4 linked regions of the Elephas maximus indicus genome follow. The protein of the gene in region 2 purifies or fractionates together with the protein of the main gene of each other region. This does not show direct contact. Links are inferred from orthologs where the notes say so. Each region holds a gene or a part of one and is shown on either strand. Other genes may lie near its edges.

What was found.
Region 1: the proteins of PRPF19 (region 2) and PLRG1 purify together in Homo sapiens (affinity purification with mass spectrometry; 8 studies listed by BioGRID and IntAct, counting the BioPlex papers as one, with this or other methods). This does not show direct contact. The link is inferred for Elephas maximus indicus from reciprocal best matches to the Homo sapiens genes PRPF19 and PLRG1.
Region 3: the proteins of PRPF19 (region 2) and SNRPA1 fractionate together in Homo sapiens (co-fractionation; 3 studies listed by BioGRID). This does not show direct contact. The link is inferred for Elephas maximus indicus from reciprocal best matches to the Homo sapiens genes PRPF19 and SNRPA1.
Region 4: the proteins of PRPF19 (region 2) and KNSTRN purify together in Homo sapiens (affinity purification with mass spectrometry; 4 studies listed by BioGRID and IntAct, counting the BioPlex papers as one, with this or other methods). This does not show direct contact. The link is inferred for Elephas maximus indicus from reciprocal best matches to the Homo sapiens genes PRPF19 and KNSTRN.

What each region holds. Positions count from the first base shown.
Region 1 is NC_064831.1:28,400,093-28,407,938, forward strand, and holds the start of PLRG1 (pleiotropic regulator 1), read left to right. Parts: upstream 1-4,831; 5' UTR 4,832-4,937; coding exon 4,938-4,946; intron 4,947-6,260; coding exon 6,261-6,367; intron 6,368-7,381; coding exon 7,382-7,524; intron 7,525-7,846. Other genes in the region: FGB (fibrinogen beta chain), read right to left, coding at 4,145-4,165. UniProt on the Homo sapiens protein: Involved in pre-mRNA splicing as component of the spliceosome. Component of the PRP19-CDC5L complex that forms an integral part of the spliceosome and is required for activating pre-mRNA splicing.
Region 2 is NC_064825.1:124,020,338-124,027,910, forward strand, and holds the start of PRPF19 (pre-mRNA-processing factor 19), read right to left. Parts: upstream 3,008-7,573; 5' UTR 2,793-3,007; coding exon 2,774-2,792; intron 881-2,773; coding exon 731-880; intron 549-730; coding exon 472-548; intron 1-471. UniProt on the Homo sapiens protein: Ubiquitin-protein ligase which is a core component of several complexes mainly involved pre-mRNA splicing and DNA repair. Required for pre-mRNA splicing as component of the spliceosome.
Region 3 is NC_064831.1:93,106,365-93,114,284, forward strand, and holds the start of SNRPA1 (U2 small nuclear ribonucleoprotein A'), read right to left. Parts: upstream 3,004-7,920; 5' UTR 2,933-3,003; coding exon 2,851-2,932; intron 859-2,850; coding exon 711-858; intron 62-710; coding exon 1-61. UniProt on the Homo sapiens protein: Involved in pre-mRNA splicing as component of the spliceosome. Associated with sn-RNP U2, where it contributes to the binding of stem loop IV of U2 snRNA.
Region 4 is NC_064828.1:15,636,015-15,643,593, reverse strand, and holds the start of KNSTRN (small kinetochore-associated protein), read right to left. Parts: upstream 3,011-7,579; coding exon 2,802-3,010; intron 2,516-2,801; coding exon 2,421-2,515; intron 1-2,420. UniProt on the Homo sapiens protein: Essential component of the mitotic spindle required for faithful chromosome segregation and progression into anaphase.

The sequences.
Region 1 (7,846 bases), on a different chromosome or scaffold from region 2:
AATACTAATTTCCTCAAGGAAAATCCTCTCAGCCCTTATGAAGAGCAGGAGTGACACCTACTGCTCCAATAAAGCAGCTCTGGATGTTAGGGCCAGGAGTCTTAAGCTTTTCCGGACCCCTCTACAAATCCAATGAAACCTACAGATCCCTTCCCTGTGGGAGAAAAAAATTACATTCTTATATAAATGCAAAATTTGCATACAGTTGCAGGTGATTCAAGGATTCCTGAACTAGGAGCTCGGCTGCGAAACACAAGGTCAACAGTTTGAATCCACCAGCTGCTTCCTGGAAACCTCATGGGGCAGTTCTACTCTGTCCTACAGGGTCGCTATGCGTCAGAATCAACTCAACAACAATGGGTTTGGGTTTGGGTTTTGAGTTCAATCTATCTATTCATCTAAAATATTCAAGAGGCCGATATAATTTTGTAGATTCAAAGAGAACTTATAAAATCAAACAAAACCCAATGCCCTCGAGTCGACTGCGTCTCATATCGACCCTATAAGACAGAGCTCTATAGGGCTTCTAAAATGATAATCTTTACAGCAGCAGACTGCCACATCGTTCTCCCACAGAGCGGCAGTCGGGTTCCAACTGCTGACCTTTCGGTTAGCAGCCGAGCACTTAACCACTGCACTACCAGGGTTCTTAAGAGAGCTTACACTCATAAAAAAAAAAAGTGTTGTTGTTACTTGCCATTGAATCAGTTCCAACCCAGAGTAGCACTGAGCTCCATAGGTTTTTCAGAAGCAGACTGCTAGGGCTATCTTCTGAGCTGCCTCTACATGGGTTGGAACTTCCAATCTTTTCACTAGAACATAATGCAATTTACCTCTATCATTACAGTGTGTTTATGAGCCCGGGATTATAAATAAAATGTTGCCAGGGTGATTAAAGACCTAAAAAGTTAATAGGCTCAACTGGATGTTGTTGTTAGGTGCTGTTGAGTCCTTTTTCAACTCATAGTGATCCCATATGACAGAGCAGGACTGCCCTATAGGGTTTCCTAGGTCGCAATCTTTACAGGAGCAGATCAGCAGGTCTTTCTGCTACCAAGCAGCTAGGTGGGTTCCAACCACCAACTTTCGGTTAGCAGCTGAGCACTTAAGCATTGTTCCACCAGGGTGCCTCTCAACTATATAGTTGCCATATGTTAGAAACTTGTTTTCATCTCTATGGCTTTATTGCCATTTAAAATCACATTCTTTAGTATAGTTATTGCTATCTATAAGAAAAAAAAATTTCCATCAAGTCGATTCCGACTGACAGTGATTACTATAGGACAGAATAGAACTGTACCATAGGATTTTCAAGGCTATAAACTTCACAGATTGGACATCACGGACTTGATGTCCAATCTTCTTTTGAAGAAAGCAAAAGATCATTAAAAAAGACAAAAAGGAAAGACCAAAATGGATGTCAGAATACACTTTGAGACTTGCTCTTGCTAAAGTAAATGGAAGAAATGAAATAGAAGAGCTGAACAGAAGATTTCAAAGAGAGGCTCAAGAAGACAAAGTAATATATTATAATGGCAGATGCAAAGACTTGGAGTTAGAAAACCAAAGGTAAGAACATGCTTGGCATTTCTCCAGCTGAAAGAACTGAAAAAAAAATTCAAGCCTCAAGTTGCAATATTGAAGGATTCTACAGGGAAAATATTAAATGACTCAGGAAGCATCACAAGAAGATGGAAGGAAGACACAGAGTCATTGTACCAAAAAAAAAAAAAAAAAAAATTGGTCAACGTTCAACCATTTCAGGAGGTAGCATATGATCAGGAACCAATAGTACTGAAGGAAGAGATCCAAGCTGCACTGAAGGCATTGGTGAAAAACAAGGCTTCAAGAATGAGGAAATACCAATTGAGGTGTTTCAACAAATGGATGCGGCACTGGAAGTATTCACTTGTTCATGCCAAGAAATTTGGGAGATAGCTACCCGGCCAACTGACTGAAGAGATCTATATTTACACCTATTCGAAAGAAAGATGATCCAACCAAATGTGGAAATTATCAAACAATAACATTAATAAAACACACAAGTAAATTTTTGCTGAAGATCATTCAAAAGCGGCTGCAGCAGTACTGAAATTCAAGCTGGATTCAGAAGAGGACGTGGAACCAGGGATATCATTGCTGATGTCAGATGGATCCTGGCTGAAAGCAGAGAATACCAGAAGGATGTTTACCTGTGTTTTATTGACTGTGCAAAGGCATTCAACTGTATGGATCATGACAAATTATGGATAACATTTTGAAGAATGGGAACTCCAGAACACTTTATTGTGCTCATGAGGAAACTGTACAGAGATCAAGAGGCAGTCATTCAAAGAGAACAAGGGGATATACTTTGTGGTTTAAAGTCAGGAAAGGTGTGTGTTAGGGTCGTATCCTTTCATCATACTTATTCAGTGTGTATGCTGAACAAATAATCTGCAAGCTGTACTATATGAATAAGAACAAGGCATCAGGGTTGGAGGAAGACTCATTAACAACCTGCATTATGCAGATGAGACAACCTTGATTGCTGAAAGTGAAGAGGACTTGAAGCACTTACCAATGGAGATCAAAGACCACAGCCTTCAGTATGGATTATACCTCAACATTGAGAAAATAAAAACCCTCACAACTGGACCAACGAGCAACATTACGATAAACAGAGAAGACTGAAGTTGTCAAGGATTTCATTTTACTTGATCTACAATCAACACCCGTGAAAGTACCAGTTGAGAAATCAAATGACACATTGCGTTGGGCAAATCTGCTGCAAAAGACCTCTTTAAAGTGTTAAAAAGCAAAGATGTCACCATGAAGATTAAGGTGCGCTTGACCCAAGCCATGGTGTTTTCTATCACCTCATATACATGTGAAAGCTGGACAATGAATAACGAAGACTGAAGAAGAACTGACACCTTTGAATTATGGTGTTGGTGAAGAATACTGAATATACCATGGACTGCCATGTGACCAAACAAATCCATCTTGGAAGAAGTACAGCCAGAATGCTCCTTAGAAGAGAGAATGGCAGGACTATGTCTCACATACTTTGGACATGTTATCAGCAGGGACCAGTCCCTGGAGAAGGACATCATGCTTGGTAGAGTAGAGGGTCAGAGAAAAAGAGAAAGGCCCTCAACAAGATGAATCGGCACACTGGCTGCAACGACGGGCTCAAGCATAACGATTGCGAGGAAGGCACAGGATCAGGCAGTGTTTCATTCTGTTGTATGGAGGGTTGCTATGAGTCAGAATTGACTAGACAGCACCTAATGATAAACTTTACTGAAGAAGCCCTGGTGGCGTAGTTGTTTAGAGCTCAGCTGCTAACTGAAAGGCCAGTGGTTTGAACCTACCAGCTGCTCCTAGGGAGAAAGATGTGGCAGTCTGCTTCCATAAAATTTACAGCCTTGGAAACCCTATGGGGGCAGTTCTACCCTGTCCTATAGGTTGCTATACATTGCAGTCAACTCAATGACAATGGGTTTAGTTTTTGGTTTTGAATCTTTACAGAAGGAGGCTACCACATCTTTCTCCGAAAGAGGGGCTGATGGATTTGAACCACCGACCTTTTGTTTAGCAGCCAAGTGCTTAACCACTGGGTCATCAGGGTAAGTTACAGTATGATTTAATTTCCAAAGAGTATAATTTATAATTATGGCAGTTCTTGGAAGGCCCACCATCAGTGACTATTTTTACAGAAAATTAGTTCTTAGGCCAAACTCACACTCAAATTTGTAGATGATTGTTTTTTCAAGTAAAATCATGACCTTGATGTTTCAATGAATGAAAAATTAAAGCATTTTTAAATAAAATTTAAAAATTGCTATACTTTTGGTACCATTTTGGGTTTTTTTTTTTTCCTCTCAAAGAATATGTAGTATGCTCCGTAGACACCATCAGTGGAACTCATTATGGTTAAGAAACAGAGCCAGTCAAATGTCGAGTTAAGTTTGCAAATAACCAGCTCCATCGATTTTCCTTTTCACATATGAAAATAATTGAACAGGATTGATAACTGCAGATTCTATCTGCGTAAAAAGCAAGCCAAAAATATCAATACTTTGGCACCAATGTGTTTATAAAAATAAAAATGGTTTAAGTCTTCAATCTTCTTCCATCAGCTTTGAAAAGCTGTACCTACCTTTGCTGAAGTCACATTCATCAGAAACAGGAGTTACGCAGTTTTGAGAGACTTCTTTAAAAAACCTATTTATCTAACAGAAAATAAATTCGGGGTTTTGTCAGATCTTCCTAACGCAAAATTCCTTCACATATCACTTCCCTCAAAATTTTTCAAACGGAGACAATTACTCAGCGACATCGACTCATTAACCGTTTTAGTGGACGGTGTAAGCGGGACTGTTTCAGGCTACAACGGCGACTAAACTCTTCCAGCCAGGTAGTGGGCGGCGACTAAAGGCTTCAGCAAGGTAGTGGGATTAGGGACATAAAGCGCGGAGGCGAACCCCAAAGAGGGGAGACCTTAGAGGAGTCTTAGCGCCGACTGGGAAATCTTCGCTTTCCAGACCCTCACTAAAGCTGATTTCATAAGCTCTCTGAATAAAAAGCATTTAGTTGCCGAGCAATACAGTGCAAACAACTACGGCGCCAATGCAAAACATTTAAAGCGGCGGATAAGACAGAAAACATGCTCATTTCAACAGTTCTAGAGACAAGACAAACGCAGCCACGCTCCTCGAGGAGCCTCTGGCGCTCTGTCCCGAGACTCCGCCCCCAGAGGCGGCCCCGAGGAGAAAGGCCCGCCCCTCGTGCCCAAGACCACCTACGGACAACCAGCGCGCCTGCGCACAATTACGTCATATCCGGCGCCAGGGCGCGCGATTGCGGAAGGGGCTGCACAGTTGTGGCGGCGGCCTTTGCGTTGGTGATTAGTGTACCGTTCCTGCCGGAGAGGCGGATTTCACGGCAGCATCATGGTCGAGGTAGAGTGACACCTAGGCGCTGAGGAGTCGTTTGGCTCTGAACTGCTTTTCTCTGGCGGCGGGCGTGGGTGATAGCGTGTGTTGGGAATCTGGGGCGAGAGAGGCTGCGAGGGGAGGCTGTTTTGCCGAGGCCGGGTGGTCTCTTCTTAAGGTTTTCGGGGAGGGAAGAGGCGGGATGAGAGCACGAGTTTGAGGCGGGAAGCCTGAGATAATTTATTCAGTCCTCAATTGGCCCTTAGGAGCTGCGCCCTGTCCCCGTAGGTGAGGCTTCTGTTGATGTTCGACCACTGGTAGTCGCCGCTCGCAGGGGAGTGCCAGTAATTCTGGATCCTTAAAGACTGCTGTTGTTTTGTATCTTGGTTCCAGTTGGTCTCTTATCGCAGCTCTTCCCCCAGGAAAACCTGCCATTCTTGAGTTTTCACATCTTTTCCTAGATTGAATACCTATTCTGTTAGCAGGTCTTGTCTACCTTGTCTCAGAAATAGTTCGACTCTCTCCACTTTTCTCCATACGCGTCGCAATCACCTTCATTCAGGCCAACATCATCTTTTGCCTGGACTGCTGCATTAGCTCCCAGCTGGTCTCCTTGCTTCCATGTTTGTGCCCCCTAAATTGATCTCTTTAAAACGTAAGTTGGTCACGCCTTCCTTGGTAAAAACCCTTTGCTGGCCTTATGTTACCACTAGGACAAGAATACGGATTATTGTAATGGTTTTAAAAGACCTTACCTGATCTGGACTTTGCCTATTCTTGCAACCTCATTTTGCAACAAGACCCACCCTCTCGCCTAACGCACACACACAACTGCCCTGGAGCTCCTGGCATTATTGCAGTTACTGAGCATCTTTGTACGTGAGGGCTTCCATCTGTCCAAATTGTCCTTACCTCCCCTCTGCAGGGTAACTCAGCCTCTGCTTAAATGTCACCTCAGAGAGACCTTTCCTAACCATCCTGCGTAATTTCCCTTCTCCTTTTTGTGTCTCAGCCCTTGCTTGTTACTTTCATAGCAGTAATAAAAATGTGGGACTATTTTGCTTATTTTTATTTCTCTCTTTGTCCTTGAGCAAAGGGAGCTTGACTCTTTTCATCATTCTTTTGATAGGTTTTAGCGCAGTGCCTGCCAGACACATAGTGTGCACTGAATAAATTACTAATCTCAGGCTTTGCTCAGTTAATGTACCTGGGACTCTAGCCAAAGAGCAGCTTCCTCCTCTTTTCTAAACTTGACTCTTACAGCTTGCTACTGGGAGCAGTGGTGAGTGGTTAAAGCAGTGGTGAGTAATTTGTAGCTACATTTGCACTCTTTCTTTTCAGGAGGTACAGAAACATTCTGTGCACACACTTGTGTTCAGGTCATTGAAGAGGACCCATGACATGTTTGTAGCTGATAATGGAAAACCTGTGCCTTTGGATGAAGAGAGGTAGGCATAGTTTTTTTTCAATTGCTACAATTTTTAAACTTCTAACATTTGGGGAAGAAGGGGACTATTTAATCCTTTAAAGATTAATTAGTAATACTAACAGTCATAAGGTAGCTCCGCAGTAATGAGTGTTGCTGTAGCATAATTTAAGCTGATATAACTTTTTTTTTTGGCCTTACTGTTCACAGTAAAAATCTCATTAATTAATTGCATTTCGCAAATACCCAGTAATTAGGAGAGCCCCTTTCAGGTGTTTTATTTTATAATCAAATCACTTTGTATGTGCTTTCAGCTTCCCGCTGCTCTCAGAGCCTTGCTGAGCTGAAATTGTACCTGGCCAGTACCTCTCCTCCCACCTTTTCTCGTTAGTATGATGAAGATTTTTGAGTGATGGCATATTTTTGGTTCTACATCTCCAGCTCCAGTCTGGGATTGCATTATGTGCAGTGTTCCTTCTTTGTCCTACCCTTCGTTTAGAATCTTAATTCCTCAGACAAGCATTTATGTTCGATTTATAAAGTAGACTATACTTAAAAATAATACAAGTGTGCTTCTCTTTAAAATGTTGAACTAATTAAGTACTTTGATTAGTTCTAACTAACTTTAGATAAATCCAATAAAAATTGTTATAGAAGCTTTTACTGTATTTTTACACTGGAAAGAATTTATCAGTCTCTATATTTTTTTTCATATATTTTTAGATCAATTGGACTCTTGGTATCTCAACATGAAAGAGTTTGTATTAGGTAACAAGCTAAAATACTGCTTAGACTTCATGGATGCTATGTGGTAGAATGTGAGCAAAAGTAAACATGATATGGAAATGCACTTAGAAATTTTTGAAGTTAAAGTTAAAATGGTATTTATTTAAAATCTTAATAGAAACTTTTTCTACATGGCTAGGCAAACTTAAGTTATTTAAGTACTTGTTCTCAGGCTAGCTATAAACATTTGCAGTGGTGAATATATTTAAATTATTTAAAAATATGTTCTACATTTATACTTTTTAAATAGTCACAAACGAAAGATGGGAATCAAGCTTCGTAATGAGTATGGCCCTGTGTTGCATATGCCTACTTCAAAAGAAAATTTTAAAGAGAAGGCCCTTCAAAATGCAGCAGATTCATATGGCAACAAACAATATCCTGCCAATCAAGGTGAGTATGGTGTTACCAGAAATACCAGGAATCGAAATGTTTTTTTTTAAACTAGAAAAATAAGATGTCTTGTTAGCACTCCTTGTAGAAGAACTAATTGAAGCCATCCAGTATTTAATGGCTATATTAGAATTATACTGAAAATCTTGATTTCATCATGAGACTAGTGATTGAGATTATCAGTTGGTGGTTTCTCTCTTATAGGAAGTGAAAGTGGTAGTATAGTAATGGCAGACATTTTGAAGTTGTGGAGAAGGTCACAGTGGAGACCAAAGGAAAAATCTGGAGAATAGTCCTAAACTATGAAGAGACCATCTGTCTT
Region 2 (7,573 bases):
TAACCGCTGCTATTTATCATTGCCCTCATTGTGTCAGGCCCTGTGCCAGATGGTCCCTCAAGATGCATTCACTCAGATTTACAGAACACCTACTATGTATCAGGTGCTGCCCTCAGTGCTGGGGATACACTGATGAATAAAACAAGACCCTGATGTCATGAGGTTTATACTCTATAATTGTATCGTAACCCTCCCAAAATCCTGAAAGATAAAATACTAAAATCTCCACCATACAGTCACGAAAACCAGGACTCAGAGTGTGGGCAACTTGCTGGAGGTCACATGGCTAGTAAGCAATGAAGCTAAGTTTGAAACTCAGACCTGTGTGACTTTTACACCCAGGTGCCTCCTCCCATATCATTCTGCCCCTCGAAAAAGATGACGATGCTCCAGCCTTCCCACTCCCTAGTCCCAGTCCAGGGATCCATCTCTTCAAGTGGGGAAGACATTGGTTCCCTCTGGGGAACTCACCCACTCATCCTGCAGAGCTTTCAGAATGGCCGGGATGCTGGTGGCTGAGGGAGGCTTGGGCCGGATTGGGTGAGCAACTGCCGAGAGGGAAAGTGGTATGAAGAACCCTAACCCAGCAGCCTCTTACCGTTCCCCACCTCTTTCCCCCTCAGCCTGAATTAACAGACCACCATCGCCTCTTCCAATGCAAAGGCACCACCTCCCACCCTCTCAGCCTCTGAACTGAGGCAGCTCTGGCCTGAGGCTGACCAGTGGGCACCTTTGATGTCGATCAGCTGCTCCTCAGACAGAGGCTGGTTGTTGATGGGGTCTGTGCCGTTCTCCGCAATGTACTTCTCAATGAGCCTCCGCTCATAGACATGATTGGAGACAGGGGACACACACGGGTGCTCTGGCACTTCATTGGAGACTGCAGGGAAAAGGCAGGCAGTGAGCGTGGGGTCAAAGGGAAGCCTGGACCAAAGAAACCCCTCACCCGCTACTGGCCCCAATAAGGCCACATGTCCTCACACTGAACCAAAAGGAAACAAGACCTGTGTCCCCAAGCCAGTTTTGTACTGTCCCCAGAATGCTTTCCAGTGACATAAGGAGCTTCTCCATCAGCAGTCTCCTGATAGTCAGGTTTTCGACAAATATTCACCGCAGAGCTACAACATGCCAGGCACCCTAGGGAGTAGTCAATAATCCCTGCCCATCTCATTTTTAAACAAAACTGGTGGTTGTTGTCGTGGCGGTGTGCCATCAAGTTGATTCCGATTCATAGTAACCCTACAGGACAGAGAAGAACTGCCCCATAGGGCAGTTTCCAAGACTGTAATTTTTATGGAAGCAGACTGCCACAGAACAGCTGGTGGGATTGAACAGCCAATCTTTCAATTAGTAGTTGAGCGCTTAACCACTGTGCCACCAAGGCTCCTTACAAAAATAGCTAGGCATCCATTATACTCCAGGAGATGGAGACATGTATGAAGCCACTCAAATCCCTGCTGTCCATCTCAGTCTAGAGCCCTAGGTAGGTTATCGAAGAAGATACAAAGCAACGAGACAAGTACTATAATAATAAAAAACATTTATGTGGGGTTTGCTAGGTGCCATGCATGATTCTGAACATTTTACATAATCTCATCATCATTTACACACCTGCCCTGAGTAGACGGTGTGCCCTAGAGAAGAGGGATTACAGCTGGTCTCTGACTCCCAGTAGGTGCACATCCCAAAGACGAAGGAATGAATGCATGGGAGGAAGGACGGTGCTGGAGCACACAGAACAGAGCTCTTTCAAGGGTCAAAGAAAACACTGGATGTGAAAATACTTTGCAATTTCTTCAATGTAATTATAATTCCCTCCGTGTAAGGTATTCCTTTTCCTGCCCATTTCCCTTTTTACTACCCTTCTTTGGATTTAAGGGAGAGGTTCAGGAAAGAGAGGATGGCTTAAAGGTAGGAAGCAAAGAGAGAAAGGGGTGGGAAACTGGTAACCTGATGAAAAGATGAGAAAAGAAAATGGGAGCATGACACAATAAAACACCAAAAGGAAAGGCAGTATAAGGCATGGAAAAGCATGGATTTGGGGTCGGGGAACCTGACTGTCACCCCGCACTGCCACTTACTAGCTGTGGAACCTTAGCTAACACTCATCCTGGGCTTCCCTTCCTCACCTGTAAAGCTAGGGTCTTTATTTCTGCTTCGGGAAATTCTTGTGAGGATAAAATGAGATCACAGACTTGGAAGCACTGCTGGAAACCATGAAGGGCCTCATAAATAAGCACTGTTTTTATTCGTGCTACAGTGTGAGAGAGACCTGGCTTCCAGCCCTGTCTCTGCCTCTAACTCACTGTGTGACCTTCGCAAACTCCAGAAGCTCCGACTGCCCAAGCGCGACCTCAGACAGCATCCAGTGCAAAGTCCTCATTTTGAAGATGGGGAAACTAAGGCCCAGAGAGGGGTCGATCACAAAGCTAATCGGAGGCGAATTCTGAACGAGCCCTCGGCTCCCCTGGCTCCTACGCTAGAGAGGCTTCCCCTGCACCAACTCCCTCTGTCCAAGCCTCTGTAAAACCAAATGGTTGGCCCCAAGGAGCCCTGAGACGACAAATCTGAGGCGCTGTGTAAACTGCGAAGCTCTGCGCAAATGGACCCCGCGCGGAGGACGGAAGGTTCCCGGTGCTGACAGGCCGCCGCTCTATCGCCCGGGAGCCCCGTTCCCGCCTCCTCCAGAAGCCGGTGTCTCAGCAGCTGGCGCATTCTCCCGCTCCGCTCTCCAGCCTCCTGCAACCCACGATCGGCCGCAGGCGCTACTCACTTGAGCAGATCAGAGACATGGCGCCGTCACTGCGCTCCGAGGCGCCTCACACCGGGCTCCGTGACTGGCTTCGGAGCCGCCGCGGGCCACTTCCGGTTCCCCGCTGCTTCCGGACGCTCCGCAGCGAGCGGGGAGCACCCCGCCGAGCTCTGGTAGCGTAGTGCTTCACGTGGGTCTGGGGCAGGTGGCGCGCCGCAGCCTTCAGCAACTAACGGAAACTGCCCCTTCCCAGAATGCAACCGGGCAGGAAAGGGCCCGCCACAGAACACTCGGCTATTTCCGGATTAACTCGTCTCCTTCCGTAAAGTGCCCCAGGGAAAAGGCGGCGTAAAACTACATTTCCCATGATGCAGTGGGACCGTTACATCCAATGTGTTCCTGCACTCCTTTTGAGACGCGGTAGTGTCTGTGTTTTCCGAATTTTAATGTGCACAAGAATCTCTTAACGAGCTTATTAAAATGCAGATTTCTAGGGTCTGTCCTAGAGAGTCTGCATTTTAATTTAGCGCCCAATAAAATTGAGGCTGGTGTTTCTCGGGCCGCCCTTTGAGAAAATACATGCTGGGGGAATCCGATGAAAATGCAGATGAGTAGGGGAACTAACAATGATCAAAAAACGGTTTTAGTACTACTTCTGTTACCAATTTGCTCTGTGACCTTAGGCAAGTCACTAGTTTCTCTGCCGGTTTTCTACATGACTTCTAGGTTGCTTCCAGCTCAGGTAGTGTAAGATTCTTCGTTGACCTCTGTAAGATAAGATATACTCAGGAAAGATGTAGAGAACGTGCGCCGACTCGTGTGGGCTACGAGGGAAGACAGCAGGACGGGTAGATGTGGTCACTGAAGTCTTCCCTGAAAAGGCGTGAATGAGCTGGGCTTTGACAAACGGGCAATATTCAGAGAAAGGAGAAAGAAGTGAAGGGTATTCTAGAAGGAACAGCATGAGCAAAGACGGAGAGAAGAACAAAAGTTGCAGATATAGGGCAGTAGGGTATAGCGGCCAAATGCATGGACTCTGAAGCCAGACTGCTGAAATCCCAACTCCATCCAGCTAGTATGCTGTGTGAACTTCTCTAAGTTGTTTCCTCATTTGTAAAATCGGGGAAGTGAAAACAAGGGTAGAACTAAGTTATAGAGTTTTTTTGTGATGAGTTAACAAACAGCACTTTGAACTAACCCTGGAACATAGTAAGTACAGTATACATATTCATGTTTGTCATTATCTCAAAAGCCAGCAAGATTGCCCAAGCTCCCCTGAACTGATAAAATAGCTTCCTAGTAGCATCTGGGATCTTAAAAGCTTACCAGCTGCCATCTAAACCCATTGCTAATCTAAGATACAATTATTAGTCTCTTCCTGTCTGGAACAAAAGAGAGTGAAGAAAACCAAAGGCTCAAGGAAGCAATTAGTCCAAAGGACTAACGGACAACATGAACCACAACTTACACGACCCTGAGACCAGGAGAACTGGATGGTGCCCAGCTACCACTACCAACCACTCTGACTGGGATCACAACAGAGAGAGGGTCCTGGACAGAGCCGGAGAAAAATGTAGAACAAAAAATCAAAATTCACAGAAAAGACCAGACTTACTGGTCTGACAAGAGACTGGAGGCACCCTTCTGACCTGAAACTGAAGCCATCCCTGGAGATCACCTTCCAGCCAAGCAATAGACAAGCCCATAAAATAAACAATAGTATCTGAGAGGAATGTGCTCCATAGAACAATCCATTATATGAGATCAAAGGGCAATATTTGCCCTAAAGCAGAGATGAGAAGGCAGAAAGGGATAGAAAATCAGGATGAAAGGTATCGGGGAAACCAGGGTGGAAATGGGGAGAGTGCTGACACGTTGTGGGAAATAAAACTAAGGCCATAAAACACTTTATGTACGAACCAGCAGATGGGAATCTAATTTACTCTGTAAACTTTCACCCTAATGCACAATTAAAAAAAAAAAAAAAACTTCCTGATTGACCTTGTTTCCAGACTGGCCTCCCTCTAATCCACTTTCCACAAAGCAGCCAGTGATCTACTTTCAGTGAAAAATCTATTTATGCTACTCCTCAGGCATTTAATTCGTTCAACATATATTGATTGGGGTGTGTCAAGCTCTGTTCTGATCATTGCAGATACAAATGAATGAACAAAATGACAAGGTTCCTGCTCTTATGGCTGTTTAATTTTATGGAGAGCATGCAGAAAATCAACACCTAAGAAGATAATTCCAGAGAGTGGTTGTTGTTCTTGGTTGCCATCGAGTTGATTCCGTCTCATGGCGACCCCATGTGTTACAGAGTAGAGCTGCTCCATAGGGGTTTTTTTGTTTGTTTGTTTTGCTGTAATCTTAACAGAAACAGATCACCAGGTCTATCTTCTGCAGCACCACTGGGTGGGTTTGAACTGCCAATCTTTAGGTTAGCAGTGGAGTGCGAACCATTTGCACCACCTGGGGACCTGGAGAGTGGTAAGCACCATGAATAAAACAAATCAGAATAAGGTGAATAGTAGCTGCTGGGCATCGGAGGGAGGACTTCTTTATGCAGGATATTTAGGGAGGGTGTCTCTAAGGGGGTGACATTTTTACTGAGACCCGAATGAGGGAAAGCAGTCAGTCCCAAGACCAGGAATGAGTGACTCTGGCAGAAGAAACTTGCTCCCAAGCCCTGTGCCATCTGGCCCAGGCTGACCTCCACAGTCTCTCCAGCCACACTGGTCTTTTAAATCCTCAAATTTACCCACCCTTGCTTAGAACACTTTCCTCAAATCCTTCCCTTCTTCCCCTCCCCCCAATGCCCTCCAATGTAAACTTCAGTCCCACCTTAGATGTCACTTCCTCAGGAGGCCTTTTCTTTAATATCAGGCCAAGGTTTAGCCCCCATAAACCAGTTGCCAGTGAGTCAATTGTGACTCATGGAGACCCCATGTGTATCAGAGTAGAACTGTTTTCCATAAGGTTATCAATAGCTATGATCTTTTGGAAGTAGATTGCCAGGCCTTTCTTCTGAGGTGCCTCTGGATGGATTTGAACCACCAACCTTTCTGTTAGTAGCTGAGTGCTTAATTGTTTGCACCACCCGGGGCTCCTTTAGTCCCCATAAACCCAACCCAACCCATTGCTGTCAAGTCGATTCCAACTCATAGCGACCCTATACGACAGAGTAGAACTGCCCCATAGAGTTTCCAAGGAGTGCCTAGTGGACTCAAACTGACAACCTTTTGGTTAGTAGCTGTAGCACTTAACCACTATCCCACCGGGGTTTCCTTATCAGCCTCTAATTCTCCTCTGAGCCACTTGAGATAACTATAATCATTTAACTATTTATAATTATCTGTCTGATGTCTGGATTCTCCATAGCCTGTAAGATCTGTGATGACAGGAACCAGGGTGTCCTGTTCTCTGTTGTTCCCTGAGTCTAACAGTGCCTGGCACATAGTAGGCTTGGCACATAGCAGGGGCTTCATAAATACTATCGGTTGAATGACAGGCTGCCTGGCGGGCCAGGCGTCTCAAGTACTTAGATTTGGTAGGAAATAAAGTGGGTTAGTAAGTGGTTAGACTTGTGGGCTTGGCAGCAGAACAACATCTGATTGCATTTGAGCTACCAAGTGACCTAAAGATAACCACATTTCCAGAAGTTTCCTCTGAAAGGCACTTACTAGATGGGTTGGAAGGGGACAAACTGGAGAGGAAAACACATTCATTCCTTTAACGGACAAATCTTTATTGAGCACCCACTGTGTGCCAGGCAAGAGACATCCCTACACTGGGGAGCTTATGGCTGTGACATCAGAACACAGGAAAAAAGGAGTCCCTTCAAAGCTTTCAGAGCCCTGGTGGTACAGTGGTTAAAGTGCTCTGCTGCTAACCAAAAGGTTGGCAGTTTGAACCCACCAGCTGCTCCACGGGAGAAAGATGTGGCAGTCTGCTTCCATAAAGATTACAGCCTTGGAAACCCTATGGAGCAGTTTCACCCTGTCCTATAAGGTCAGAATGAGTCAGAATCTATTCAACGGCAACGGGTTTTGACTATACTATATGGCAATGGGAACGGGGTTATATGCCAAAGGGCTTTTTCAAGGCTTTTGGGTTTCAAAAGCCAGCCCCATGGGAAATAGAAGGAATTCAGGGAATAGACAATTGACTTAAATATCATGGGTAAGTGCTTGATCTCCACACCACCACCACCCACTTTGTCCTCCCCACAAAGGAGACAGGTATTCCCTAGTCTGAAAACGGAGCTTTAGAGGGAAAGAGAGAGACTCATAGCTGTTGGTAGGTCCCTAAGAAAGGAATCCTGATCCCTGTTCTTCAGGCCAAGGCTGTTGCTGCTCCTTGGAAAAGGTAAGTTCACATTGGCCAATAACCCAGAAGAAGGCTGGGCTCCATTTCCCAGGTAGACTCAGTGGCAACCTGTGTAGACAAATGAGAGGACGATGGAAGCCTCAGGAATTGACAACTGGATGCACACCTAGGGTCATATGAGCCTCCCCCTCCCCTTTGGCCATATGCTAATCTTCCAAAACGTGTGCACAGCATGAAAATCGGGGATGGGAAAAGTTCTAAACTGTCTGAGATTATTTCCACTCTACCCCAATGGAAAAGAGAGTTGAAAAGAAATTAATTTTTCCTAGGAAGAAAGAAGTTACATTTCTTGCACAGGAAAATCTGTGACCTGAGATTTAGGTAGTCCTACAAAGCAGCTGAAAGAACCGAAGAAAAAAGTCAAGCCTCGAGTTGCAATATTGAAGGATTCTATGGGGAAAATATTGAATGAAGCAGGAAGCATCAAAAGAA
Region 3 (7,920 bases), on a different chromosome or scaffold from region 2:
GTTGGTGAGAATGAGTTCTGTCAAACAGGGGAGAGACTGATCAAGTCCCTCACCTATACGGCTAAAATAAAAATAATGGCTCTTTTAATAAAAGTGAAAAGTCAGTAGGCTAATGATTGATCTAAGTCCTTATTCCCTCCGAGGGTTTCAGACTCCAGCCTTGGAAGGAGCCGTGGGGATCCTTCTTCCAACCCCCTATCTGATGGGGAAGTGAAGCACAGGGAGGAAATCATGCTCAGGCTCTGAGGGCAATGGCACACTGGGATGACTTAGAGCCCATGCCTCCTACAGCTGCCTAGGGCTCTTTCCATTTCTACAGCTCCCAGTGAAACCTAGGAAAACGAGAGAGTCCTGAGTAAAACATACTACCAAATAGTCCTCTTCATAACTTTTCTGTGTGTGCACCACAGAAATTCACAATTCTGCATTCATAGCTCAGCTACAAGGCATACAACTATATCATAAGTGAATGGTTAATTTATGAGAAATGTGCCTATCTGAAAAAGCCAAAACCACACCACACAGTACTTCCTAAAAACGTTATCTACAGACTTTCATTAACTTTTTCCTATATTTGCACAGAGCCGAAAGACAATCAAAGAAGATTTCAGTTTAAATAAATGAGTAATATTCTAGAAATCAGGTGTAGCTAAATACAGACAGAAGAAGACACGAAGTGAGAGAGATACTCAGCCAAATCAGACACTGACCATATTCTGTTATTGTTCACCAATAATGTTTTCAGTCTTCTCAACAGAGGAAAACCATCCAGTTTCCTGATTTCATTGTCAGAAAAATCAATAGCATCAAACTGGTCTAAGGTAGCACCTAGATTTTCAATGACAGGAATTTTGTAACCTGTAAAAGGGAAGAAAAAGAGAGAAAGAAAAAACACAAAAGGTTATCACACTATCATAATTAAAATGCACCTTGTAACATTAGCAACGTTTCATGGTAATTTGACTCAAAGCTTTCATTCACTGATGAAGTGTTTACCTAGCACTTAGGATGTGCCAAACGTTGTGCTAGGTATTGGAGTTAAGATGTTGAACAAGGGAGCCACAGGCCCCGGCTGCTATGAAGCTGACAGCCTAGCAGTGGACATGGAGATGATTACGACAATGAGAATGAGGACTTACTAATAATACCAATAACTACCATTTGTAAGAATATTTACAAGGTGCTTCCCACTATTCAAGTAGCGTAAGTAGTTTTAGTCATTTTGACCCACAAGTTAAGTTTTAAGTTTTTCGTCCATTAAAAATGAGATGAAGAAATGGAGGCTCTATGATTTAATTAAGGTCCTAGAGCTAATTAAGTGGGGTAACAGGAATTTACACTTTGAGCTACCAACTATCAGTGTCCGACCCTTGTTCAAACATTGTGGACAACAGTTCTCAGCCTCTTTTGCATTAACACAGGCCAGTCCCCTAGAACTCATCATGACATCATGGTCCCTGCCCCTAACTGTAGTGATTCTGACAGGTGTGCAGTGATACTGCACTCCTGCTTTAATTTGTTTTTCTCTAATAACTAATGAAGTTGAACACCTTCTCATGTGTACTGTTCATTCCAACAACTTCTTTCACAAAGTACACAGCTCCACTTCACAGTTGTTTATACACAATGGTAAATCATACTGTGTAACAATTTGCTCAAATACTCACTGACTTGTGGGCATAATTAGGTGCTAGAAAAAAAGAAATAAACCCAGCTAGAGATTTACGGCCTTGGAAACCCTATGGGGTCACTATGAGTTGGAATCAGCTTGATGGCAGTAGTTTTTTTTTTTTTTTAGAGTTTAAGTACATAATTCAGAGCTGTTAAGAATTACACCAGAGTAGATACTGCCGTGTATATTCTCAACGACAACAATAAAACGTATTATTGTTTTTTAAAAAGGTAAGTATTGCACCAAAACAAGTATTCTCAACACTGGGAGAACTTCAGAAACAGAAGGTAGAGATCCACATGCACAAAGATAGTGGAGGTGGTGAGTTACCACTGAACTGAGCCTTTGTCTAAAGAATGGGAATTTCAACATAATGAAAGCACTGGAATTTCCCAAAAGTTCGGCAAAGAATCTAAGCAGAAAGGAGCTGAGCCAGAGCACTGATGCTCCCCCGAGGGTGTCCTGTGCGGGCAAATCTCAGACCAGGATTGGAGAATGGTGATCCCCAGAGAAGCTGCTCTTCACATCCCTTCTAAAGCCATCTCCTGAAATGCCAACTAGTTAACTCGAGCTCCCCACTTCTTGAGAAGCCTAACTAGGGGTGAAAGACCCGCAGGGATCGGAATAGGTCCACGGGCTTCTACCACGTACACCACGGGATTCAGTGAAGGGGCCAGGCCCTGCGGCGGTGGTTAGAGAGACCCCGGAGCAGGTCAAACAGTTCAACACTTTTTAAATGTTTTGACAGAAGGCAAATAAAGCTAACAAGAAGACTGGAGAAAGGGAACAGTGGCTTTGGTTCCCGAACCTTGCTTCCTTCCGCATAAACTAGGGATAACGAGCGCGCATGCGATCTATCCTAACGTATTTACTGACAAGCGATCCCGCTCGCCCTCCACCCGAGTCGGACTTGCCCGGCCCTCAGGGTCCCGACTGCCAGCCCCGCCGCACACGGCCTCACCGGGGCCCGCGGGGACGGCTCAGGACGCACCTGATTCAGCCGGGTGCGTGCGAAGAAGCGGGGTCGACGGACACCTCGGGGGAGCCTACTGCGCGGTCTGCTGGGCGGCCGCCGGGCTGTCCCAGCGCCCAGCCCGGCCTGGAGCCCAGAACGGCGGCGCACGCGGCGGGGCGCGACCGCGAGGTCTCCGTGCCGCCTGCCCGGTCCCCGGACTCACCCCGGAGGTCCAGCTCGCGGTCCCGCACGGCGTTGGTGTACTGCGCCGCCTGCTCGATCAGCTCCGCCGTCAGCTTCACCATCCTGCCGCCACCCGCTTCCCGGCGCCCCGGCCCGCTGCTTCCCGCCGACGAGATCTCCCAGCGTGCCCCGCGCCCCGCCGCCAGGCAGCACCGATCGCAGCCGGCGCATGCGCGCGCAGCTCGTCGGCCAGGCCGAAGCAATCGAGAGGCCACGCCCGCGGCTCGTTCTTTCCGAAGGTGCTGACGGGCGTTGAGGCCGTATCCGGTTTGGGGTTACTTCCTGGGGCGTAGCTGTACCATGGAGGGCTCCTGGTTCCAGGCGTTTGTGCCCCATGATCATAAGCGGATGATCCAGCTCAGGTGCTCATACTGTGTCCCGGCCCGAAGCCCAGCACCAGGACAGGGACCTTAAGCCCTGGACCCTTCCCTGAATCCCGTGGGTCCTGTCCCTCCAGCTACAGCTGGCCTCACGATATACACACTGTTCTCATGTGTATAGTGTTCTTTCCAATTGCTTCTTTCCTGAAGTGTCTATTTCCGGTCTCTCTCTCTCTCTTTTTTTTTTTGGCCCCCATTGGGTTGTCTGCCTTTTCATTATTGATTTGTGGTTTTTTTTGGCCCCCATTGGGTTGTCTGCCTTTTCATTATTGATTTGTGGGAATTCTTTATATATTCTGGATACGAGCACACTCTGTGGCGTGTCTTTTTCACTCTTAATGCTCTTTTTTGATGATGAGAAGTTTCTAACTTTTATGTAATCCAGTTTATACTGTCGTTTATGATTAGTGGGTTGTATGTGTTTTGCTTAAGAGATTTTCCTCACCCCCAACATATTTTCCTATAGCATCTACTAGAGGCTTACTTGATTTACGTTTCACATTTAGCTCTACAATCCACCTGGAATTGATTCTTTCAGAACTTTTTATTGAAGTGTGATGTACCTACAGAACAAACAGAGTACACCTAAACAGCTGACATCCAGATCAAGAAACAGGATATTACCACACCCTGGAAGCTCCCCTCTTGTCCTCTTCCAGTCACTAACTACTGTACTGGGTTGATACAGCCTCCCCCCACCATCCAGAACCTCAGAATGTCATCTCATTCAGAAGTAGGGACCTTGCAAATATAGCCAAGTTAAGATAAAGTCGTACTGGATTAGGGTTGGCTCTAAATCCAACACGACTGGAAGGAAATTTGGACACAGACACAAAAACACAGAATGCCGTGTGATGACAGAGGCCAAAATGGGAGTGATATCTATGAGCCAAGGATTGCTGGCAACTACACGGAGCTAAGAGGAGACAAGGAAGGATCCTCCCTAGAGCCTTTAGAGAGACCATGGCCCTACTAACACCTTAATTTCAGAGTTCTAGCCTTCAAAACCATGAGAGGATGAATTTTTTTTTTTGGAGAAAAATGGGTTTAGCATTTTAAATAGACGTTATTTTTAGAGATGTTTTAGGTTTACAAAAACAGGGTTCAGAAAATAATTTGAATTTACCCATCCCCTCCCCACATTGTTTCTCCTATTAATATCTTGCATTCCTGTGATATATTACAATTGGCGAACCAATACTGATACATCATTATTAACAAGTCCATAGTTCACATTAGGGGTCAGTCTTTGGGTGGCATGATCCCACAGGTTTTTAAAAATTGTGGTAAATATGCGTAACAAAATATTTGCCATTTTAACCATTTCAAAGTGTACAATTCAGTGATTTTAATTAAATCCACCATGTTGAGCAACCATCACCACTATTCATTTTCAAATGGTTTTCATCCCCCTTGTTGTTGTTGTTAGGTGCCGTCTAGTCGGTTCCGACTCATAGCGACCCTGTGCACCACAGAACGAAACACTGCCCGGTCCTGTGCCATCCTTACAATCGTTGTTATGCTTGAGCTCATTGTTGCAGCCACTGTGTCAGTCCACCTCGTTGAGGGTCTTCCTCTTTTCCGCTGACCCTGTACTCTGCCAAGCATGATGTCCTTCTCCAGGGACTGATCCCTCCTGACAACAGGTCCAAAGTATGTAAGATGCAGTCTCACCATCCTTGCCTCTAAGGAGCATTCTGGCCACACTTCTTTCCAAGACAGATTTGTTTGTTCTTTTGGCAGTCCATGGCATATTCAATATTCTTCACCAACACCACAATTCAAAGGGGTCAACTCTTCTTCGGTCTTCCTTATCCATTGTCCAGCTTTCACATGCATATGATATGATTGAAAATACCATGGCTTGGGTCAGGCGCACCTTAGTCTTCAAGGTGACATCTTTGCTCTTCAACACTTTGAAGAGGTCCTTTGCAGCAGATTTGCCCAATGCAATGCGTCTTTTGATTTCTTGACTGCTGTTTCCATGGCTGTTGACTGTGGATCCAAGTAAAAGGAAATCCTTGACAACATCAATCTTTTCTTCGTTTATCATGATGTTATTCATTGGTCCAGTTGTGAGGATTTTTGTTTTCTTTATGTTGAGGTGTAATCCATACTGAAGGCTGTGGCCTTTGACCTTCAACAGTAAGTGCTTGAAGTCCTCTTCACTTTCAGCAAGCAAGGTTGTGTCATCTGCATAACGCAGGTTGTTAATGAGTCTTCCTCCAATCCTGATGTCCCGTTCTTCTTCCAATAGTCCAGCTTCTCGTATTATTTGTTCAGCATACAGATTAAATAGGTATGATGAAAGAATACAACCCTGCCGCACACCTTTCCTGACTTTAAACCAGTCAGTATCCCCTTGTTCTGTCCGAACAACTGCCTCTTGATCTATGTAAAGGTTCCTCATGAGCACAATTAAGTTTTCTGGAATTCCCATTCTTCGCAGTGTTATCCGTAGTTTGTTATGATCCACACAGTCGAATGCCTTTGCATAGTCAATAAGACACAGGTAAACATCCTTCTGGTATTCTCTGCTTTCAGCCAGGATCCATCTGACATCAGCAATGATATCCCTGGTTCCATGTCCTCTTCTGAAACCAGCCTGAATTTCTGGCAGTTCTCTGTCGATATACTGCTGCAGCTGTTTTTGAATGATCTTCAGCAAAATTTTGCTTGCATGTGATATTAATGATATTGTTCTATAATTTCCACATTCGGGTGGATCACCTTTCTTGGGAATAGGCATAAATATGGATCTCTTCCAGTCAGTTGGCCAGGAAGCTGTCTTCCATATTTCTTGGCATAGACGAGTGAGCACCTCCAGCGCTGCATCTGTTTGTTGAAACATCTCAATTGATATTCCATCAATTCCTGGAGCCTTGTTTTTCACCCATGCCTTCAGAGCAGCTTGGACTTCTTCTTTTAGTACCATCGGTTCCTGATCATATGTGACCTCTTGAAATGTTTGAATATTGACTAATTCTTTTTGGTGTAATGACTCTGTGTATTCCTTCCATCCCCCTACCCATTTTCAAATGGTTTTCATCTCCCTAAGCAGAAACTGCAGCCCAAGTGGTGCAGTGGTTAAGTGTGTGGCTACTAACCAAAAGGTCCGTGGTTCAAACCTACTAGCTGCTTCTTTTGAGAAAGATGTGGCAGTCGGCTTCTGTAAAGATTTATGGCCTTGGAAACCCTATGAGGTAGTTCTACTCTGTCTTACATGCTTGGCATTTCTCAAGCTGAAAGAACTGAAGAAAAAATTCAAGTTGTGAGTTGCAATGTTGAAGGATTCTTTGGGGAAAATATTAAACAATGCAGGAAGCATCAAAAGAAAATGGAAGGAATACACAGTCACTGTACCAAAAATAATTGGTCGACGTTCCACCATTTCAGGAGGTAGCATATGATCAAGAACTAATGGTACTGAAGGAAGAGGTCCAAGCTGCCCTGAAGGCACTGGCGGAAAACAAAGCTCCAGGAACTGACAGAATACCAATTGAGATATTTCAACAAACAGATGCAGAGCTGGAGGTGTTCATTCATCTATGCCAAGGAGTTTGGAAGACAGCTACCTGGCCAAACAACTACAAGACTTGATCCATATTTGTGCTCATCCCAAACAAAGCTGATCCAACAGAATCCAGAAATTACCAAACAGTATCATTAATATCACACGCAAGTAAAATTTTGCTGAAGATCATTCAAAAGCAGTTGAACAGTACATCAGGAGGAAACTGCCAGAAATTCAAGCCAGGTTCAGAAGAGGACATGGAAGGAGGGATAGCACTGCTGATGTCACCTGGATCCTGGCTAAAAGCAGAGAACACCAGAAAAAAGATGTTTACCTGTGTTTTATTGACTATGCAAAGGCATTGTTGGACTGTGTGGATCATAACAAATTATGGACAACATTTCAGAGAATGGGAATTCCAGAACACTTAATTGTGCTCATGAGGAACCTGTACTTAGACCAAGAGGTAGTCATTTAACAGGACAAGGGGATACTGCATGGTTTAAACTCAAGAAAGGTGTGTGTTAGGGTTTTATCCTTTCACAATATTTATTCAGTCTGTATGCTGAGCAGATAATCTGAGAATCTGGACTATCTGAAGAAAAATGTGGCGTCAGCATTGTAGGAAGACTCATTAACAACCTTCGATATGCAACTGATACAACCTGGCTTCCTGAACGTGAAGAGGACTTGAAGCACTTACTGATGAAGATCAAAGACCACAGCCTTCAGTGTGGATTACGCCTCAACATAAAGAAAGCAAAACTCCTCGCAACTGGACCAACGAGCAACATCACGATAAATGGAGAAAAGATGGAAGTTGTCAAGGACTTCATTTTCCTTGGATCCACAATCAATGCTCATGGGAGCAGCAGTAAAGAAATCAAGTGACGTATTGCACTGGGCAAATCTGCTGCAAAAGATCTCTTTAAAGTGTTAGAAATCAAAGATGTCACTTCAAGGACTAAGGTGAACTTGACCCAAGCCATGGTGTTTTCACTTGCCTCATACACATGTGAAAGCTGGACAATGAGTAAGGAAGACTAAAGAAGAATTGATGCCTTTGAATTATGGTGCTGGCAAGAATATTGACTATTGCATGGGCTGCCAAAAGAACAAACAAATCTGTCTTGGAAGAAGTACAGTTCAAATGCTC
Region 4 (7,579 bases), on a different chromosome or scaffold from region 2:
CATCTCTGTCTGAAGTAAAACGTAACTTTAGAGGAATATATTTTACCTTCTCCTGTCTCAAGTATTAGTAAACTCGTTACTGTTGAGTCGATTCCAATTAATAGCAGCCCTATAGAAGAGAGAACTGCCCCACAGGGTTTCCAAGGAGCAGCTGGTGGATTCTAACTGCCCTCGCCTTTTGGTTAGCAGCCAGGGCTCCCAAGGATTAATAAGTTATACTCAATAACAAATCAGCCCCATGTAAAAATGAGTTAATAGTAAATCGATCAAAACGATAAAATGATCGTTGACTCAAATTGGTTCCAATAATCCATATTTCTAGAACCCACGCACTGCAGTGAAGGAGAAACATTGTAGGATTTAACACAACTACCTTAAAATGGGAGACACTAGGAGGGGAATTAGATGGTGGTGTCGTGGAAGGTGTGGTGCAAAGAACTAAATCTGGCTTTCTGTCTATGGTTTTTGAAAACAGACTGAGCAATTAAAGTGCTCTTTGTTTTTTAAAATAGCCAGGCAAGTAGGGGCTACATACACAGGCCCCATACCTGGCAAACTAATTTCAGGAAGGAAGGGGGCAAGACACAATCAATCCTACATATCCACCGAGATCCCAACGGCTAGAGGACCCTGGGCTTGGGGCTGTCTTTTCGGGGCTTCCAGGACTGGTAAGAACATCATGCACAGGGGAGGAGCAACATGTGCCTGGAGAAAAGGGAGGCCGCGTACAGGGCCTCTCCCAGAGCTTGCCAGATGCGTCACTACACTGGTGTCCTGTCTGGTTATAATAAGTGGGTAACTGTAAGTACAGGTAATAGTCTCCATGAATTTTGTGAGCCATTCTAGAGAATTAACCAGCTCATGAGGGTTAATGGGGGTTTAGTGAGAGTTGGCAGAGAGGCTAGAAGGAAGAGTCCTAACTTGTGGAGACTCAACTCTTGAGCGGTTAGGGTCAGAGAGAGAAAGGGGCATGTGGGTGGCTGGTGTTGAAATGATGAAGTGGGAAAGTAGGGCCATGAGTTAGCTTCACATTTTGGAAATTAGCCCTATGTTATCCACAAGGAAGGGAAGGAGACTTGTTTCTCACTTCATATGGTTCTCTAACAATTTTTTTTTTACATGTGCATGTATTACCTACTCCAAAAACTAAAACACAAACAACTGACCCATACCCAAAATTGGAAGAAAAAAGCTGGGAGGCAGCCTAAAAATTTTTAACTGTTGAGGTTATGTACGATCATGAAGTGGAGGACAACGTTAGGAAGCAAAGACACTGAAAACCTCCAACTTGGCTGGGGAGAGCTAGTCACTCCCCACTGAGCAAGGGGCACTGCAATCTAGGGAGACAGCGGAGCTAGGTCAGCAGATGTGGTGGCTTCGGGTCTTCCAGCAATTCCTCAGTCCCTTGCTGACGTGGGGATTAACGCCCAGGTGTTCTGAGGCAACAGAAGCTGTTAAACCCTTGGAGAAAAGCCTGTTTACCCCACAGATCAATCAACCCTACTACTGCTCATCAACTAGCTGAAAGGAGTCATCTGGGAAAGGCTCAGAAATGGCGGCTTCATCATCTCCCACAATAGTTTTCCAGTGCCTGAAGCTTATTCTGTGCTATAATCTCTAGATTAGGCAGCTGACAACTGCAGATCCTATGCAACGACTTTCAACCACAAGCAAGGTAACAAAGCCAAGTGGCCAAGCAATTAGTTGTTTTTAATCATGTCTCTCTCTTCTTTATTCTCAAATACTGGGACTAGGCTGATCCCTCTCTCCTTTCACTTAACAAACATTTATTGAGCCAGTACTATATGAGAGACACTGGGAAGGTATAAATGTGAAAAACATGACATGGTGTCAACAACCTAGTGCCTGCCGTCCCCCCCGCCGCCCCCCACCAAGTATCCCACTTCCCAAACGACCTGGACAGTCCAGGCCCTCGAGACTGTCTACACTGGAAATAAAAGTGGTAACTCGTGAAATGGCAATTCCTGGCTTAATGGGAATTAAAAAAAAAAACCACAACTGACGAGTCGATTCCAACTCATAGCGACGCTATAAGACAAAGCAGAACTGCTCCACAAGGTTTCCAAGGACCGCCTGGTGGACTCGAACTGCCGATCTTTTAGCTCGCGGCCGAACCCTTAACCACTACGCCACGAGGGTTTAGTGTAGACCAACCAGCAGCTTGAATCTAAGCAGCACGGGTTAGGTCTTGGAGGGTAGCAGGGCAGGTCTAAGGCCCCACCACTTGACCCTTCCCCTAACTCCCAACCATAAACCTAGAAAGCCTGGTTTTAAGAGTAGGTTGTTAGAGCCGACGGAATGCACTCCCCCGGTCCGTGCCCCCATCCCCGCACACACACCCCCCTACCACTACACGTCGCTCTGCAGGGACCCAAGGGGGACCGAGGTTGGACACCCACCTGCGGGCAGGCCGCCGCTCAGCACAGAGGGGGGCTGCAGAGTGTACACTGTCTTAACTACGCTGGTCATCGTAACGAGGCGGCACGGCTGGACCCTGGAGGATGCAAGGGTGGTGTCAGCTATCAGGCGCTGGGCCGCCCGCCCCAGCAGGGCCCGCCGACCTAGCCGGCAGCCGGGCGCCCAAGCGGGCCGAGGGTTCGGGGCGGGCGCGACCTGACCAGCCCCGGCTCTGGGGAGAGGCCGGGAAAGAGAGGACCTCTTCGGGATGACCTTTACACTTGATCCTAGCCAAAAGGCCGAGAAGGATGAGTGGGAGTTAACCAGCCCATTCCGTCCGCCCCCCACATTCAGCGCAATCCCTTGTCCCAGGAGAGCCGAACCCGGGAGCCCGCCGCTCCGGCCTGCAGTCCTCCTCGATCTCGTTCAAAAGACGCTCTGAAGTAACTGCCGCACCCGGGACCGAGTCCGCCGCCTCCGTTTCAAATGGAAACTTCCGGTAGCTGGGCGGGAGGGAATGAGATTCGGCTTCCGTAGGCAGCCATGTTGTACGGAAAATACTATCCTGGCCTATGGCTTCAGGAGCTGCCATGCTGTACGGTAGATTCGAGTAGAGGCGGGAGACTGACTTTCCCAGCCACTGGTGTTGGAGCCCGCAGGTCTCAGCGGGGTGCACTTTACTGGCCTGAGTGGAGCTAATGAGCCACCCGCGTCATGTTCTGGGCTTGGGACACAAACGTGGCCACGTTGAGAGTCCATGTTGTCACAATCCTTATTATTTGGTCTGTGATTATTAAGGATATATTATTGCATGATGTCTGATTACGTAGAGCACAGGTTATTTGGATTCGAAGAAAGCTTCACGTTACAGGGTGGAGAATGGCAGGTGAGACTTGGAGAAAAGCCTGTGGACTGAAATACCTGAGGCACCTACCTGCAGTCCTAACTTTAATGGCATTTATCCAGATTTTAAGCAGAGATTCAAAGCTACTTCTAATAACGGGGCAGAGTTCTCAAGCACTTAACGCATTCACTTATTCATTTCACTCAACAAATGTTTATTGAGTACTTGCTGTGTGCTATGGAGCACAGCCACTATCCTAACTGGGTGAAGGGACAGCAAAGTTCAAGAGTAATCTTATGTCTGCCCTTGAGTTTACAATCTAGTGCAGGAAATGGTAAATAAATATATGTACATATTTACCAATTGTGGTAAAACTATGAAGGAAAAGTACAAGGTATTATGAGAGAGAATAGCAGCAGAATCTAGTTTAAATTGGGCGATCAGGAAGGACCTCTCTGAGGTGATGTTTGATTCAGGAAGGATTAGTGGGAGTTAACAAAATGAATACAGGAGAGAAATACAAACCCTCAGGGCAACAATAGGGTTTTCTCCTTTTTTTTTTTTTGAAACATTTTATTGTGGTTTGATTGAAAGTTTACAAAGCAAATTAGTTTCCCATTCAACAATTAGTACACATTTGGTTTTGTGACATTACTTGCAATCCCCTCAATGTGACAGCACTCTACCCCCTTCCTCCGTGGGTACTCTGTTTCCATTAGCCCATCTTTCCTGCCCCTTCCTGCCTCCTGAACTTTGTTTTTGGACAAATGCTGCCCTTTTGGTCTCATATGGTTGATTGTCCTAAGGAGCAGCATATTCCTCACAGGTGTTATTATTCACTTTATATGCCTACTGTTTGGCTGAAAGGTGATATCTGGGAGTAGATTCTGCTCCAGGTTTCAAAGGGTGTCTAAGGGCCATAGTCTTGGGGTTTCACCAGTCTCAATCATACCAGTAAGTCTGGTCTTTTTTATTAATTCAAATTTGTTTTACATGTTTCTCCCACTCTGTCCAGGATCTTCTACTGTGATCCTGATGAGAGTGGTAGGTAGTAGTAGCTAGGCACCATCTAGTTCTTCTGACCTCAGCCTAGTGGAGGCTGTGATTCATGTGGTCCATTAGTCTTCTGGACTGTTTCCTTGAGACTTTTATTTTCTTCACTCTTCTTTGCTCTGGACAGAAAGAGACCAATAGTTGTATCTTTTAAGATCCTAGACGTTACTCACTACAGTAGGATGTAGAACATTGTGGACTATACTATGCCAATTAACCGAGATAACCCCCAAGAATATGGTCCTAAGTCCTCAAGTCCAGTGACCCAGTCCTTCAAGGTGTTTGGTTATGGCTAAAAAGTTTTCATAACTGTGCCCCCTGTGCGATCTACTATATATATGGATATAGTTGTAGTAAGTACAAATACATATGTAGAAATATCCTCTGCCCAACGTATATATGCTCCTGGGTGTACTCCCATATACCATCCCACACCTGTTCAGCTTACATTACTCCCTATATATCTACTCATAAATTATTGTTTGTTATTACTGTTTTTGGCAGGATTGTGTATGAAATAGTATTTACTGTCGTTTCCTTTTACTCTTGCGTTCCTCCCAGCATCCTCTTTGCCTTGGTCATGTTGTGCTGACATCCCCCTTTATTGTGTATTGCGTTTCCCTTCACCCAAGTTACTACCTTTCTACTATCTAGTTAGTGATTTTCCCTGTCTCCCACTCCCATTGCTGGTAACCATCAAAGAATGTTTCCGTGTTATAAAAATTGTATGGTAGAGGAGTCTGACTTCCTCTAACTTCACAAGGGAGGAGAATCAAAATCCATAGCCCAAGACTGATTGCTACGAGGCAGAGGTCAGACATAACCTCCTCTCCAACATTTTACCAGTTCTGACATCAACTATTCCTCCCACATCACTCTCTGCTTCTCTGCTGGGTTCAAAAATTTGTTGCAATGGCCACACAGAACTCACAACGATACTCACAGTTATGGGATTTATTAGGGAAGTAACACGTTATAATTCAAGTTCAGTTTCTTCTCATCTGTGCTCACAGACACACCTCTCTTTGGCCCCTCTGCTCTAGGCCAGCCTTTGTCCAGCTCAGGCAAGTGTTACAAAGCTCTTTTAGTTCTCCCAATAAGTGCCCAGAGGTACCCCACTCAGCCAGTAAGCATCAGCCTGAAGACGCTCAGCTATAGCTCCCTGGGTCTGCAAACCAAGTTCCACCAAGTGCCTGGAGGCACCCTATTAGCAAGCCTCCTGCCAGAAAGTGCTCAGCTTTCTCACTCCATGAGCCGGAAAACCCACCACACCATCTCTGGCCAGCCTCCTACCTTTGTTGCAGCCATTCCTGTGCTGCTGCTTCTTGCCATCTTCAGTGTTACAGCTCTCTCTCCTCATCTCCTGGTTCCAGGAGCTTCTTAGCATAGGGATCCTGGGTTCAAATGACATTCTCCACTCCTGGCTTTTCTTTCTTGGTGGTGGTGAGATCCTCCCTTCCCTCCACTGGGATGGCTCATTTTAAGCCTAGCAGTATGGCAAAACTGACCAATGTCCTCATTAGGGTTCCATACACCCTATATTCATGGTCCCATCCCCACAAGGGTGCCATGCCCCTTATTTCCATTATTAGCAAGCTATCCAATCCTCTTGGTGGGTGACAAGTGTTATCGCAATTTCGCGAGTTAGAGCCGCCTGCCCCAAATAGCCAATTCTTGAGACAGGGGTGAGGTGGGTAGCAAGAACTTTATTAGATGTACCGGTGTATGGAGACAGAGGGGAATGATCTCCTCCTAAAGTCCTCTGTCTCACCAGACTACCGATGGGTTCCGGGTTTTTAAGGGAAAAGGGGCTATAAGTTTTAGGGACTTGTGGAATGTGCACTCTCTTTCTTCTGTTTGGTTTTGGTGGTCCTTTCTCAAACATGTTGCTGTTTTCCTGCCATCATCCCATCAGCTCAGGGGGTAGCTGGCGCCATCCTTCATCTTATTAGACAGGCTTATATCAATATCACTTGTTTTCCACAGTCTTAGAGGAAACATTGGTTAACACTTAACCATTTGGGGAGCTAACATCAGGATCTTACTTGGAGACAGGGATGGGCTAGGGGAGGGAAAGGAGAGAAAGAAGAAAGAAGGAAAAAAATTGGCTCAGGTTCTGTTCAAGATATGGCTGAGCACTCTGTTTCAATTCCCCCTTTTTGTTGTAGGTTTCTCAATCTTGGGAAACAGGGCGCCATATCTCTAGCTGCTTCCTGTTGGATGGGGGCGTGGAGGCCTAAGGGTTAGAGAAGTGGAACTCTTGTGTTGTCTGTGTTAAATCACTGTATCTCTCTTGTATCTATAAACCAAGCCAAAACCAAACCTAGTGCCATCGAGTCGATTCCAACTCGTAGCAACCCTATAGGACAGAGTAGAACTGCCCCATAGAGTTTCCAAGGAGCGCCTGGCAGATTCGAACTGCCGACCCTTTGGTTAGCAGCCGTAGCAATTAACCACTACACCACCAGGGTTTCCCTTGTATCTATAAAAAAAAAAATAGTGGCCCTTTATTAGGCTGTTGCCTCTCTTCTTCTTGGGTGATGGGTTGAAATTTCTGACCAACCATCGTTTGGAGCTGGAACTTTTAAATCACTTGAAATGACTCTACCCTTCCGGGGAGAAGGCACCAACTCATTAAGGCATACACCGAGACACATAAGCTTGTCTGGAGACAGGAACAACACAAGCAAAGGTTAAAATAGAAATTAGTAAAAGGGCTAGAGCGAAACAATTCTTAATACTTCTATATTCCTTATTTTTATGATACTTATTTACTGGTCTTTGTTTTGTCTCTTGAATAGCCACTTAAGTCTTTACACTGGTTCATATATTTTTTAAAAAAGGCAAAAGTGGGAAGCAGACAAGGGTGTTGTTGGAGTCGTGTCTTTTCAAGTCTTAAGAATACAGGGTATAAAATGAGCAAAACCATTGAAAGCTTTACTTTTTCACAAACTGGAAACTGTAATCTCGTATCTTGAATCATCATTCTTAACGATCATTGATACAGGTTTCAGTAAAGAGAGTCAGGAGGGTCTTCATTGGTCTAACAAATTTCTATTCATTAGATGTTAATAGAAAAAGGTAAGAGTGGAAAGTCTTTTGTGTTCTGGCTTATGTGAAAGGTTCTTTAAAAGACATTTTCTGAGATTATCCTATTTATTGTCTTTATACCTCAGGGCCCAGTTGATGTGTCCCTGTGAGTCCTTGTAAACCCAGCTCCAGCTGGGTCACATTCTCTATGCTCAAGGACAAGGAGTAATGACT